2 linked regions of the Notamacropus eugenii genome follow. The protein of the gene in region 1 purifies or fractionates together with the protein of each later gene. This does not show direct contact. Links are inferred from orthologs where the notes say so. Each region holds a gene or a part of one and is shown on either strand. Other genes may lie near its edges.

Region 1 (7,753 bases):
TTAATAATATTTTCAGTTTTTACTTACAGGGTTGTGAGGAAAACCAAGTTGTAAATGTTAAAGCTCTATAGAAAGGGGAACCCATTATTACTGCTGTTCGTTGATAGCAGCAGGGTTAGCAGAATAAAGAATGTCAGTTACTTTATAAATGTTAGCTATCATTATCATGATATTAAATAATATCATTTGAAAATAAACCCATTGTATTTTTAAGTTTTTAACTCTAACCACCAGGGGGGGTTCTTGTTCCTCATTTTTTACTGGGTGAGGCGAATGACATCATGATGTTGGGGTCAAGGTACATCTCTTCCCAGTGGTGTTGTTCATCCTTCATTCTAGTTCTGGAAGAGGACCGATGACATCGTGAGGGTGGTATCTTGACTTCCATGGGAATTGGATTTAAGTGAGGCAGAGTTGCACAAATATGTGTCAACCTTGCTCTCTCTTCCAGAGTGATTGAAACTCAGTTGCGAGACAGAAATCAAGATGACCAGGAATGGCTCAGGATGCAGTGGATGACCTTGCTGTCTTTGATGCCTGGCCAAACTCTAAAAACTCCATAGCACCTACTTCTGCCAATTTCATGTCCCACTGGAACAAATTGTTCTCATCTGCCTATTCTGATGGAAGTTTTCACATACTTACAGCAGACATCCCCCTCTGTTACCCTTAACTTGGTTTAGCCTATCTGCCAAGACAATTTTACCAGGGTCTGACCACCAAGCATGTTTCTTGCAGCTACAAGTAAGAAGTCGGTAACAGGGGGATACCAAAGGTATATGAGCAGCCCTGGAAAAGGCTCAGCAAGTCCTCACACCAGAAGTACTAGTTCTCTCTGAATGCCCTATACACGCCTACCAGGGAATATCATCTCCAAATGCCTGACCTTATTTGTTGGTAAGTTAAATGCTAACAGTCCCATGCTCACTTCAACAGTTGAGTACTCCCAGCAATGCCAGAGGGTGGTGTGGGGGTAATGCCAAGTTCTCTGCAGTTCTCAGAGCATTAGTTACTTCTGTATCTTAGCTCAGGAATGTGTTGGAACTAGCTCAAACAGGCTAGGGCAAACTGATGATTAAATTTTCATTGTGGGCATTATGCCTTGGAAATAGGCAAATGTTACATCTCAGGACTTTAATTATTGTTTTGTTGATTGTCTAGAGTCTCTAGACTTAAGAAAATGATGGAGAAAATGTTAATAATGCAGATTAAACTTTAAAATGCATCACATGTACATTTCCTCCCAGAGATCCAGTTGTTGAACATTTTTGGGCATAATCCTGCCCTATACCTTTTTTTGATTATAGACATGTACAGGTAGTACAGATTTTTTAGATTCATCCATTTAGACTCTTATGACTCATGGTGCTCCTTCCCCTCAGAAAACTCTAGGCTGATCCTTTCAGTGATATTTTTATGGACTTCTAACACACACACAGAGCATAATAGAGTCAGTCACGCAAGGAAGTATATGTTCTTTTCGTATATGGAAAAAAAGAAATACTAAATACATGAAGAACAACCACTGTGAAGGCTGAAGGCTCATAGCTCATCTCAAGTCTAGCTAACCCAAAGCAGTGCTGTTTGTAGGTATGTCCTCAAATTCAGGAATTCAAGGAATGCAGTTCAGATCCTTAAATTTAGACTGTACTCAAAGAAAACTCAGGCATTTAAGAGACTTAGTTTAGAGACTTAGATTTAGACCTCCTTAATTCTACTGTAGGAGTATGTGTTGGGGTGTGTGTCATATTTGGATCATCCACTCAAGAAGTCCCCACAGCTAAGCACTGAAGGACTCAGCTGAATCCTCCCATTCTCACTCACTATGATGCTGGCTAGAGCAGGACTCTAAATGGTTTTTGCTGTACTGACACTAGCAGCTTCCAGGGAAAGGCTTGGCACAGCAAATGGTTGACCAACATTACATAGTTTATTTCTAAGCAATCTGGTAAGAAGACAAACAAAATGCCTTTCCCTCAGCTCCATCTTCTAAAGTCCCCTCTCTGTTCTTGCTTCTCAAATTTGCACATAGTGTGGTGGTTGTCCTTTGTTCTCAGAGAGGACCACATGATAAAATGAAGTTTCATTATGTACGACCGTGGCTGATCAGACCAATTCAAGCTCGGAATGCTCTGCCACAGATTGGGCACAGAAAGTCTGTGTGAACATTTGGGGTGGTTATTCCAAATTTGTGCATCCTACATTTCCTTTGTGCTGTTTCAATTCTGCTTTGCTCATAGAGCACAGCACCTTTTTCTGATGTGGGCATGCCATGCTGAGTGGTCCTGTCTCCCATGTCGCACAATCAAATCCAAAGTTCGAGACCTTGAGAGAGTCTTTATATCACTTCTTCTGACCACTATGTGATCACCTTCAAGACAATCTATTCCCTTTACCTTTATAGAGATGGACAATGGAGGCATCTTTGAACTCCTGGGGGGATAACTTCCTCTTGCCATATAACTTGGAATATTTCAGTCAGCTTTTGTGTGAGCAATGGTCATGTGCTTTGCCAAATAAAAGGAGCCTAATGGCCCTCCAAACCTCTTCTTCAGTTGGAAGTATAGGTAAGGAGGGATTGACTTCAACCTGAGGTAAACAGTCAGTGACCTCAGCATTAATTGATGATGATCTGGTGAGAATACTACAGAAGTGTTCAGCCCTTGTCTCTAGGATCATGTCCTTTTCACTAATCAATGTGGCTCCATCAGCACTGAGTAGTTGTGATGCACCATAGGTTTTTGGTCTGATATTTTTTGCTGATAGTAACAATCCAAAGAGATTTTATGATTTTATGATTCCCTGAAAGCTATTTATGAAAGCACACACAGTCTGTGACCTAAATCACTTCCATCTCATATCTATTTCTCTATTGTCTCAGACGCCCAGAGAAAGCTTTGTGGGCATACACACTTTCAAGGGGTCAGAGCTCCTCAGTTAAAACACCTAACGTAGTTGTGCAGTTGTTTTACAGGAGGTAGAGTATCTTTTTTGAGCAACAGCAAGGTTGCTGGTATCACTGGATCACCGTGGAGAGTAAGATGTAAAAAGCCTGGGAAAGTAAAGGCTTTGAATGCCAAAGAAAGGATTTTATATTTGATCCTGGAAGTGATAGGGAGCCATGGGAATTTACTGAATTTTGTTATGCATGTTTCAGTCTTCTTTGGTTATGTCTGACTGTGACCCCATTTGGCATTTTCTTGGTAAAGATCCTGGATTGCCTTGCCATTTCCTTCTGCAACTCATTTTACAGAGGAGGAAATGGAGGCAAACAGCGTTAAGTGACTTGCCCAGGGTCACATAGCTAGTTTGAGGCCATTATTTGAACTCAAATCTTCCTGACTCCAGGCTGTGTTCTGTTCACACGCCTAATACAGAAGTGTTAACCAGAAAAGTCCCAGTAACAAATGAAAGCACTGAGCAGAGGTATTTCCTTATTTCTAAAATGAAGGTGTTAGACTACATACTGTGACCTTAAAATTTAGATTCTATGTGCTTCACAGGTAGTTCCTTCCTCATACTTTTAAAAGTCTCTGGGTTTTTTCAGTGTGATATGGCTATCCCTTCCTTATTTATTTTCATGTGGTCTGTTTCTGCAAAATGTATACGTATGTTCTTTTGGTCTGCTGAAAATTGTTGTTTGCTATCTTCCTAGAGAAAAGTCTTATGAGGGTCTTTCAAAATTTTTCATATGATTTCATTTTACCTGGATGTTTGTTTATACTCTAAACTTATCTGAGAAGTGAAAAACCAAAAACTATAATGGCATTTATCCTCTCTATTTGATAATAATAAATCTCTTAATTTAATGTGCTTTTGGAGTAGGAATGCTGACCTCCCAAGTATTTTCTCCCTGTCCTTTCCTTCACTTTTTCTAGAAGAAAACTAATATTAGTAGATTTATAAAACAGTTTATAAATGGTACTTTTATATTTCAGGAAAAAAAACGGAGGCCAAGAAAAATCGACGTTTTTTAACAGCTCTAATTAGAATCTGGGTGTTGGTATGTAAATAAATATTGAATGTGACTTGCCTACTCAAGATAATCTGAAATTTTCTTCTATTTTCTTTCGGCGCAGATAGAAATAGAGCAGTGTTTTTAGATTGCTCAATGGTGCCCGTGTGCCATTTTCTATAAATTACCCCCCACTGGGAGAGGTACAGCGCTGAGCAGGTAACTGCGGTGCTCGAAGCCGAGTGGAAATGTGACGCAACACTTCAGCGCAAGTTGCCTGATAAAAATGACGTCATTTAGTGCAGGGGGAATCACTCTCAGAACACAACTGCGCCCATCCTCCCACCGCCTTCCCCACACCCTCCCGTCCGGTGATGCCCGTTGCTGTAGCCTCTTCGGTACCCGGGGGGGCTGCCCAGGGTGGAAGGACAAACATCTCTGCCCCCTGGCACAGGAGCCAAGGGTCCTGCGCATACGCGCAGAGCGTGGTAGCATCCCAAAGAAACAAACGCTTGCCAGTTTTAAAGCCATCGCGGAAGCCCTTAAGGACGCTGCCCGGGCTGGGACGCCCCCGGTGCCCCCCGGAGAGGGGTGCCCCCCGGAGAGGGGTGCGCCCCGGGGCTCGGGTGGCGGTCATTCCTTTACGACAGGCCCATTTGCCATAAGGGGCAATCGCAGGCGGGGACTCGATGACGGGATGAGAGCGTGGGCCGGCGCCACCCCAGGCCCTTCCGCTCAGGGTCCGGTGACTCCCGAGCCTGGTCAGCTTCGGGCTTCGGGCCGCAGGTGGCGGCGGCGGCGGCGGCGGAAGTGACGCACGCGCGGTGCCCGGCGTTAGAAAGAAAGATGGCGGCGCTGGCGCTGGACCAGGGGGAAGGTAAACACCGGTCAAGGCTGCTGTTGTTGCTCCGGGGAAACTAGTCTTTCTTCCTTCCGACCTCTTCCGCAGCCTCGCGGCCTTTCCAGGAACGAAGGAGGGCCGGGGGCTGGGGGATGCCTCCCCCGCTTCCTCCCGCTGTTCCCCACCCCCTTCCCTTCCTCCCTCCGCCCGCCGCGGGTTTCTCCCTGGGAGTGTGTGTCTCCGCCGCGGAGCCTGAAAGGCCCGGCTGAGGGGCGGGCGGGCGGGCGGTCCGGGGGAGGAGGCCCCGCGGCGGCGCCGGGGCCGGGGCCAGGGCCGGCCCGCGGGCACGGGGAGGAGCGGCCTCGGCCTCCCGGCGTGGCTAAGCTCCGGAGCCGGGGGAAGCCGGAGCCGAGGGAGGCCGGGCCCGGGGGAGGCCGGGCCCGGAGCCGAGGGAGGCCGGGCCGGGCGCCCGCCTCCCTCCCCCCCAGCGGAGCCGCTCCTGCAGGTATCGCCGTTATTGTCGTTACTGGGCCTCGGAAGCGACGCTGGGGTCCCCGGGGCGAGGACGGGGTGGGGGGGACCCCGGGAGGCTGAGTGGCTCGTTTCTCCCCAGGGCAGGGACGGCGGGGGCCGCAGCCACCCCAGCAGCCGGCGCGCAGGCTCCCCCCACGCTGGCCTCCTCGAGGTGCCCCGGCCCCGGCCTGGAGGGAGGAGCCCCTCTAGAGGTGAGCAGCGGCGGCGGCGGCGGCGGCGGAGGAGGGGGAGGAGGAGGAGGAGGAGGGCGCAGTCTTCATGGCCTCTTCTGCCGAGTACCGGGACGCCCGCGAATCCCCATGGCCGAGGTGCTTTTCCTGATGCAGACGCCAGTCCACTCGTAACTGGACCGAGCCCCCCGAGGTGCGTATCCGGCCCCCGCCCAGGCTTTGGGAGAGCTCATTTCGGTAAGACTGCTAATGGAAGCAGGGTCTTGGCCGAACTGAATTCCCAGCTTCTCCTGCCTTCCGATCCCGAAAGTGCCCTTAGCCTTGTGTGCATTAAAATGGTCCGGACATTCGTGGGGTTTGTGCTTCCCGTGATGGAGCACTGGCTTTTAAACCAAAGGCCCCCAGCTCTTCTTAGGAGTCATGCAAAAGCGCCACATGTATGGAAATGAGGGTTAGTAGGAAGTTTTTTAAATGGATTTAAATTCTAAGAGATGTGTCATTTTCCCCTTTTTATTTTGATATTTTAATATCTAAGAGAGCAAAGTCGTGTCATACAGATATGTCCTAACTTTGGGCTCCATTTTTACCTCCTGATCACTGTCTACCGTCTTTCCAGACATTTTACATTCCCCCTTTCCTCTCTGTTACAGCCAAACTGACTTTCTTGGTATTCTCTGAATTTAACTTTTCATCTCTCACCTCTGTGCCTTTCCGCAGGCTGTCTCCAATGACTGAAATGCATTCTTTCCTAACCTTCAGCTTTTTAGAATGCCTAGCTTCCTTGAAGACTCAGCTCACATGCCTTCTCCGATAAAGATGCCTTTACTGATTTACCCCTTCATCATTCCCCTGTGCTTTATATGTGGTGATACAAAATGAAGAAGCCACTTTGTTAAGATACTTTTTAAACATTAAATTAATTTCATTTTTTAAGTCAAATTTTCTCTCATTTCGCATTGGAAATTTAAAAAAAAGCAAAGCAAAATGGAACCTTTGTGACAAATATACATAGTCAAGAAAAATAAACATCCTTCCTTTGGCCCTGTCCAAAATTTATGTGACCCATTTGGCATCATGAGACTTGAGGAGGTAAAGAGCTTTGGTCCTCCGGAATTGTGGTTGGTGCCTTCCTTGGTCAGAGTTCTTAAGTCTTTCCAAGTGGTTTGGCTTTATTTATGGGGTTGTTGTCATTGTATAACTGTCTTCCTGGTTCTGCTCGCTTCACTGCATCAGTTCATACAAGTCTTCTCCTCATTTCTTATGGCACAGTAGCATTCCATCACATCCATATTCCACAGTTAGTTCACCATTAACCGATTGCTGGTAGTCCTTGGTTTTCACTTCTTTGCCCCTACAGAAAGAGCTATTACAAAACCTTTTTATACATTTTTGCCCTCTTCTTTCATTGATCTCTTTGGGGTACAGGTTTAGTAATGATATTGTTGGGTCAACGAGTACATACAATTTAGTCACTTTTTGTGCATTGTTCCATAGTGCTTTTCTGAATGGCTGGACCGTTTCCCAGATCCACCCATTAATGTGTTTCTATTTTCCCTGCAACCCCTCCAATATTTGTGATTTTTCTTTTTTTGTCAATTTTGCCAATTTGATAGGTATAAGATGGAACCTCAGAGTTGCTCTAATTTACGTTTCTCTATTGGCAATTTGCAGTATTTTTTACATTGCTATTGATGGCTTGGATTTCTTTCTTTGAAGGACCTATTTGTATGTTTTGACTCTATGTTGGGTGGGGAATGACTCATTTATAAATTTGAATCGGTTCCTTATGTATCTTGATAATGACTTTTTTCAGAGAAAGTGCCTGCAAAAAGAATTCTCCTAGTTAACTTTTTCTTCTCATCTTCTCTGCATTGGTCTTGTTCTGCAGAAACTTTTAAGTTTTATGTAATCAAACTTTTCTACATGGTATTTTATAATATAAACTACTATAATGTTAAGTTGTTTTGATGATGTGAACTTTAATCTTTATAACATTACTTTTACAGTACTTCCACATTTATAAGTAAATTGTAAATTTCAGAAAATAACTTTGTTAAGTAAAATAATGTCCACAAAGTGTCTCATTTTATCTAGTTTAAGCACGTAGTTGTTGAATCATTTTTCAATTTTCTCACTCTTTGTGACCCCATTTGGGGTTTTCTTGGCAGAGATACTGGAATTGTTTGTCCTTTCCTTCTCCAGATCATTTAACAGATGAGGAAACTCAGATAAGCAGGATCACGTGACTTGCCC
Region 2 (7,127 bases), on another chromosome or scaffold:
CACAATTTAGCTGTCACCACCATAAAGGAATAGAGAACATGGAATATAATATTCCAGAAGGCAAAAGCTATATGGGCTTTATAGTCAAGAAAAACTTACCAGCAAAACTGAATGCAATATTATGGGAGAAAAAAAAACCAGATTCTTAAAGAAACAGACAACTTTCAAACATTCCTGATTAAAAAGGGAAAGGAAGGTTAGGGAAAATTACCTTACTTTATCAGGATGAATGTAGAGGGGTTGGAGGGGGGGGAACAGAGAGACATTTGAACCTTCCTTTCATTCAAAATAGTCAAAAGAAGGGAGAATACACATACTCAGATGAAGACAGAAATACCTTTCATTCAACAGGGAAATAGGAGGGAACAGGGATTAGGGAAAAGGAGTCTTAGAGGAAAGGTTAAGTCAAGGGAGGGATTAGTTTTAAACAAAACAAACTCTAAAGATATAAAAAAATAGCTTTTTTTGAGGTGGCAAGGAATGGCAACTTGACAGGGTGCCCATAAATTGAATAATAGATGAACAAAATATAGTATATAAATGGAATAGAATACTATTGTGCTAAACTCTTTATCTGCATAATGACCAACCAGGGTTCCAGAAAATTAATATGCTATCTACCTCCTGAGAGGTAAAGTACTAAGACAAATTTTTTTTGGACAAGACCCGTTTGGAATTTTGCTTTGATTGACCATACAAGTTTGTAATGGCTTTTGTTTTTCTTATGTTCAAGTAGGGGATTGGGTTACAAAGGTGAAAAGACAGATCTTGGATGATTAAAACAAACAAAATATATCTTTAAAAGCAAAAGAAAAACAATTCTGCCTCACACATTTGCGAGCTGTATGTTCACACCCAGGCAAGTCACTTAACATCTCTGAACTTATTCTCTCATCTTTAAAATGGAAATAATAACAGTATCTATTTCATAGGGCTGTCATGAGGAGAAAATTAAATAACATGTAAAGCATCATATAAATGTGATCTATATCATCATCATCATCATCACTATTATTTGTACAGAACTATTAGATGAAATTTCTGGTCATAGGAAAGGTTAGAAAAGACACAATGCTGGCCCTCAAATAATTCACAGTTCATGATGGTACAATGGAAAAGCACTTGATTTCAAGTTAAAGGACCTAAGTTCAAATCCCACCTCTGATATTTACATCTGTGTCACCTTGGCCAAGTCACTTAATCTCTCTGGGCCTCAATTTTCTCATCTGTAAATGAAGGGGTTGCACTGGATGTCCTCTAAGGTCCCTTCCAGCTTTAAATTTATAATCCTAGTAGAGGCATAAGACACCAATTTACTAATATAGGAAATTTCTTCCTACCTCAGATACAGATTAATATTTTTACTTCTGGATTTAAATAGACACCTTGAAATTCATCAAACTTTGAACAAAAAATTGCGCCCATTCCACAACCTGACAGCCTATGATCCTGCTTCCTTCCCTTCAACCTCTTGGTCAATTATTCCATTTTAACATAGCTCTAGTTCTATTGAGGTTATTTATGTTTTCCTCTCAGGAAAGTGGAGTTCTCTAAGTGATGCTCCCAAGCCTCCAGTGGTGTCCAGGCCACCATAAAAATAGGTAATATTTATATTCCTCTTTGAAGATTTATAAAGCCAAAGTTTTACATACATTACCTAGAAGCCTCAAAATATCCCTGAGATAGATGCTACTTTTATTCCCTGTTTTACAGCTGAGGAAACGTTACCTTATTGGAACCTCAAAATATTGCCAGAGTTGATGCTATTTTTTATTCCCCGTTTTACGGATGAGGAAACTAAAATCCAGAGAGAAACTATCTTGTCCAAGATCACAGTAAAGAGTGTTAGTATGAAAAGAGCTGGATTTGGAGCGATATGACCTGGGTTCAAATGGCAGGTCTTCACTACCACTGCTTAACTGTAGGTAAACTACTTCAGTTCTTTTCCCAGATTTTCCCATGGGTAAAACGAGTGGGGTAGCACTAAGAAAACCTCTAGGATTCCTTCCAACTGTAGGAGCGGTGTGAAGGCAGGAATGAAAACCCAACTCTTCCAGATTGATTCCAAGTCCTCAGGCCCCCTCAGCAAGAGCCCCGTCACGCCCTTTCAAAGAAGGCAGCTCAGCAGGGGGCCTCGGATAGACCGGAGAGACCCAGGGGACTGAAATCCCCCCAAACAGACTCCCAGAGCGTCCGAGCTGGGAGAGGTCTTAGAGGTCACTTTACAGAAAAGGAAGCTGCGGGCCAGAGAGGGGAAGCGGCCAACAGAGGGTGACCGAGCTCCGGGCTCTCCTCGCTCCCTCCCTTCCATATCCCGGGCACCGGGGCAGAGGTGGCGGCGAAAGGGCGGCTCCCCCCCCCACACCCCCGGTGACAAAGGGACGCAGCCCTCGGGTGGGGTCGCGCCGAGCCGCCCCGCCCCGCCGTGCCCCCCCCACCCCCGGTTACCTGCAGCACCATGGCTTGGGCCGCCCCGGGGGGGAAGCCCATGCGGTCAGCCGAGTGGCGCAGCAAGCGGTAGAAGTCCGTCTTGCGGTAAAGGAAACCGAACAACACCCGCAGAAAGTCCTGGACGTTGCCCACGTGCTGCAGGATGCCCAGCAGCGCCTGGTCGTACAGCTCCGCCGCCCCGGGCTCCATGGCGACCGGCCCGGTCGGCCCCGAGGCGGGAGGGACACTGACACTCGGGGACAGGGGGTGCAGCGGCCTGCCGCGGCCTGGGTCTCAGCGTCAGCCGCCGCCTCTGCCTCTGACCGGCGGCTTCCGCTGTATGTGAGCGTGTGAGTGTGTGTGTATGTGTTTGTGTGTTTGTGTGTATGTGTGTAAGCGTGGGCACCGTCAACGGCTCCACCACCCAGCCGCCGAGACCGAGGGACTTCCGGTCTGCCCTGCTTGCCTCCGGAGACAACGTCCCTCCCCCGGCGCCGAGGCCGCCGCCGCCGTCGGGATTTCCGGCGTGGGTGCCCTGGCTAAACAGGCTCGACGCAGCAGGGGAACCAAAAGAGGGCCCAGACCAGAAAGTCGGGGGTTGGCGAGCACGTGACACCCAACGACCCTGTGGGAAGAGGGCAAAGGAAGTTTTCTACGCCTCCCCCCTCCACGTGACGTACGCGCGTCACTGAGAAAACATCGCCACCTCCCACTGCGCGCGCGTGGGTTCCGAGCGTCACGTGACTCCGAGTTTCGGGCTCCTTTCTGTTTGAAGTTTGTTTCTCCGGACTGAATCGTGCTTAGCCTCGGTCCGCTCGGCGTCCTGAGAACCGGGGTGACCTCGGGCCTGGAACCAGACGCCCCGAGGGCTGCAGCTGGTGTGGAAGTTAAATGGTTTCGGTTTCAGCCCCCCTGTTGTGCACGCCAGGAAAAGGAGGCTAGGGAGATTCCGAGGTCGCGGAGCACCGCTGGATCCCGACCCCGATCCCGACCCCGATCCCGACCCCGATCCCGACCCCGATCCCGACCCCGGGTGTTGTCAAGAGCGGTGCTTGCCTTGCGGCCCTAGGAGTGCCCCACATCCCCTGCCAACCCTCCCAGTCATGCTGCCTGCGCACCGAGCATTGCCCTCTGGGCTCGCTGCGCCGGGCTGGTTTTGCTAAACTGATTTTTTTTCTTCTCTTTATAATTTTTCAAATGAGATAACACCTAGAGCGCTCCGGAAGCCCTGTAAACTTTACAGCTATTTATTTAATGTTATATTTATAGTATAACTACCTTTTTTTCCCTCTGTTGGGGAGAACATAAGATTTTGAAGGTAATGTAAAGGTAAAAGTTATTTTTAAAAGTTAAAGAAATTTTAAAAACTGAAAACCTTTTGCTTTAAGAGAAAGTTGGAAAGCTTTAAAAATTTTTATTGGGCTGATAAAAGGGGTGTGTTTTATGCGGTCCCCAATTTGCCCTAGTCAGGCCAAGTCTGAAGTGCTAAGTTCAGTCTGGGGCATATTTGGGTGATATGAGTAAGCTAAGTGGATAGAGCTGTGGGCAGGAAAATCGGAGTTCAAATCCAGCCTCAGACACTTACTAGCTGTAGGACATGGAGGAAGTCACTTAATCCAGTTTGCCCCTCGGTTTATCATTTGTGAAGTGACCTGAAGAAATAAATGCCAAACCCACTCCAGTATCTTTGCCAAGAAAACACCAAATGGCATCATGGAGAGTTGGACCCAGCCAAAACAAAACAACAATAAAAAGCTGAAGGAAGACCAGAAAAGTGAAAGGATCTTAAAATAACAAGATTTAAATCTGAAAGGGACCTTAGAAGCTTATCTAAACAGCCTCTCATTTTACATTTATAAGAAACTGAGGTCCAGAGAGTTTTAAGTGGGAGACCCAAGATTAACAACTGACAGGATTCAAACCCAGGTCCTTTAATTCTAAATCCAGCACTTTTTTGTGCCAATAGATTGTGTAACGGGAAGATCAGTTGATGAAACTGGAACAGCAACCTATGGGGCCACTGTCGACTTATTGAAAACCACATATTAGCCAGGAGCATTTGGAGGGGAAAGGTACCATAGTGAAATGGCACCAAGATGTCTTGGAAAAAAAAAAAAACATTTTGATCCACCAAAAATCCCTAAACTCAAGATGCTCAAAGATCAGCAGTATGTGGTGAGACCAATGGCCCCATTCAACATAAGACTTATGTAGTGAGTATATTTATGAAGGCAAGAAATTTAATGCCTGGAAGAAGACAGTACAGAATAAGCTATATCTGCAATTTTTCACTTCCACATCAAATGTACCTATTGTCTAGCTGAAATTACCTTCAAAACAGACCCAGAGAATACAAATTATATCATGGAGCCACATGAAATTTCTAGGCTGAGAAACTCCTGAAAGTTAAAGAAAAAAGGTTATAGAAGGAAAGAGAAGATGAAGAATTAAATAATTCCATGAAGGGGCTGGAGAACCAGATCAAGGACTCCAAGCTGGAGACGGAGACACTGGAAAATCTGCAGGAGCTGACAGTGTTTACCCAGTGCTAGGCTAATGTGGACTTTGAAGCAATATCACAGCAGTACCAAGTGTCTGAGAAGGAGAAACTCCAGTGAGATCAGGAGAAAGCCCAAATGGAAATGGAAAGAAGAAGCCAGGAAATGGTGACTGATCTAAGACACTGATTGATGAAGAGCTCACCCTTGCACCTACCCAGCTGCCCATTCAAGCCAACCCCACAGCCTTCTTAGAAGTCTCATAGCTAAAAAAGCAGAAGTTGGAGAGCTGGGAGCAGAGTGTGGGGGCACTTGGCAGCAAGTCAGAGCTGGCAGACCTGGTTGTGGCAAAGAGGCAGCTGCCCCAAGACCCAGTAGCAATAGTGGGCATGTGGTCTCGCTGTCTCATAGCACAGGTGTACAGCAGAGTTTTAAGGAGGCTAATGTTACCCAGGATATCCATTGTTTCAACCCTGAGCCACTTGGGGGCATACTCAAACAAGTGAAGACAGCAGCAACAGCAGCAACAGCAGCTGAAGCAAGGGAAACCTCAGACTGCTCCCCAATGGAGCCAGGTTGGAGTTGTTCGGTAGGCACAGCCATGTGAAGAAGAGAATTAGGCTGGAAGCAGTGCTGCCAGAGATTCTATCTAGTGAGCTTAGTGTGCTTTCCCCACTTCTTAGCTGCTCAGCAGCTGACTGCTCCATTCCTCTCCAAGCCCCTAAGCCCCAGGAGGATTCAGTGTGGTGGTACTCTTCCTCTGAATCTTTCCACTTTAGATAATGACAGGTGAAGATCTGACATCTGTTCCTGGCCTAGTAGACCTCCTAATAGCAGGGGTGGACCTATAGAAGATATTAGGCCTCAACCCTGCTTCCTTCAAACCCCTGCCCCTCATGCTCATCAAGCCCAGGCAATCAGAGCAGAATCCGTGGGGAAGCAGGGAATTACTTCTTACATTCCCTGGAACTTAAGAGCTTTTCCAGAATTCATTTATCTCTGTCACTGGTATTTCTTTCATGACAATCCATACAGACTGATATTTTTCATCAGTGCTCAGTGCTAACAGCATGTGTGGTGGGTTTGCCTTCGCCCTAACCCCATTTCAAGTAGCTAGGTGGTTTAGTGGATAGAACACTGGACATGCAGTCAAGAAAGCCTAAGTTCAAATCTGCTCTCAGACACTTATTAGCCATGTGAGCCTGGGCAAGTCACTTAAATCTATTTGCTTCAGCTTCTTCATCTATAAAATAAGCTAGAGAAGAAAATGACAAACCACTCCAAGATCTTTACCAAGAAAACCCCAATTGGAGTCACTAAGAGTGAGACATGGCTGAATATGTGTCAGGTACTGTGCTAAGCACTGGAGATACAAAGCTCCTCAAGGAATTTGCAATCCAGTAAAGGAAAGTAAGACTCAAAAGGAAACTAAGAAAGGGAAAGGAGGAGAAGAAATAACCAACATGGTGGCTTAGTGGAAAAAGGCAGGGAAGTCCCAAGGTAGAGCACCCAGGTAAGAAGTGAGTTTTCTAAACTGAAGTCTCCTTAAATGGAGATTGCAAGTTCATGGCCTCATCCTTCAATCAGTCATATAGAAGAAGGTTTAGATTTGTGCTTGGCCTTTCACCTGGAATCTATCAACTAGGTTTGTTTGTTTTTTAATCCTTCAGTTTCAATATAATTGGTTTCCTTTGTAATTCATTTTATTTTATGCATTTAAAAACATTATTCCAAGAAGAGTTTCTGAGAATAAATTTTACCAGAGCCCCAGTGGGGTAAGTGATACACAAATAGCTTAAGAACTCCTGCCCTAGAAAAGATAATTAGAAAAAAGGGGTGGAATTGCAGAAAAAAAAAAGACAAAAAAACACATATTTCTCCTCATTTAAAGAGGAACTTCCCAATACTCCCCCGCTAGATTGTAAACTCCTTTAGAATAGAGATTGCCTTTTTTGTATTGGAATCCCTATTACTTAACACAGTGCCTAGCACCTAGAAAGCACTTAATAAATGTCAATTGACTATGGCAAAAACTAGACCCTTTCTTCTCGTTCAGCCATCTCATATTGTAGATGGTGAAACTGAGACCAGAGGTGAAGAGACTTGCCCAAGATCACACAAGTAGTTAAGTGGCAGAGCTAGAATCAAACTTAGATCTTTTCATTCCAAATCTAATGCTTTTCCCCACTGCGTTTCACT

What was found. The genes of interacting proteins can lie anywhere in the genome.
Region 2: the proteins of KLHL15 (region 1) and NUDCD3 purify together in Homo sapiens (co-immunoprecipitation; 3 studies listed by BioGRID and IntAct, with this or other methods). This does not show direct contact. The link is inferred for Notamacropus eugenii from reciprocal best matches to the Homo sapiens genes KLHL15 and NUDCD3.

The regions. Positions count from the first base shown.
Region 1 is NC_092876.1:452,963,390-452,971,142, forward strand, and holds the start of KLHL15 (kelch-like protein 15), read left to right. Parts: upstream 1-4,745; 5' UTR 4,746-4,832; intron 4,833-5,213; exon of another isoform or gene 5,214-5,301; intron 5,302-5,416; exon of another isoform or gene 5,417-5,521; intron 5,522-5,563; exon of another isoform or gene 5,564-5,737; intron 5,738-7,753. UniProt on the Homo sapiens protein: Substrate-specific adapter for CUL3 E3 ubiquitin-protein ligase complex.
Region 2 is NC_092872.1:522,770,455-522,777,581, forward strand, and holds the start of NUDCD3 (nudC domain-containing protein 3), read right to left. Parts: upstream 3,013-7,127; 5' UTR 2,641-3,012; coding exon 2,449-2,640; intron 1-2,448.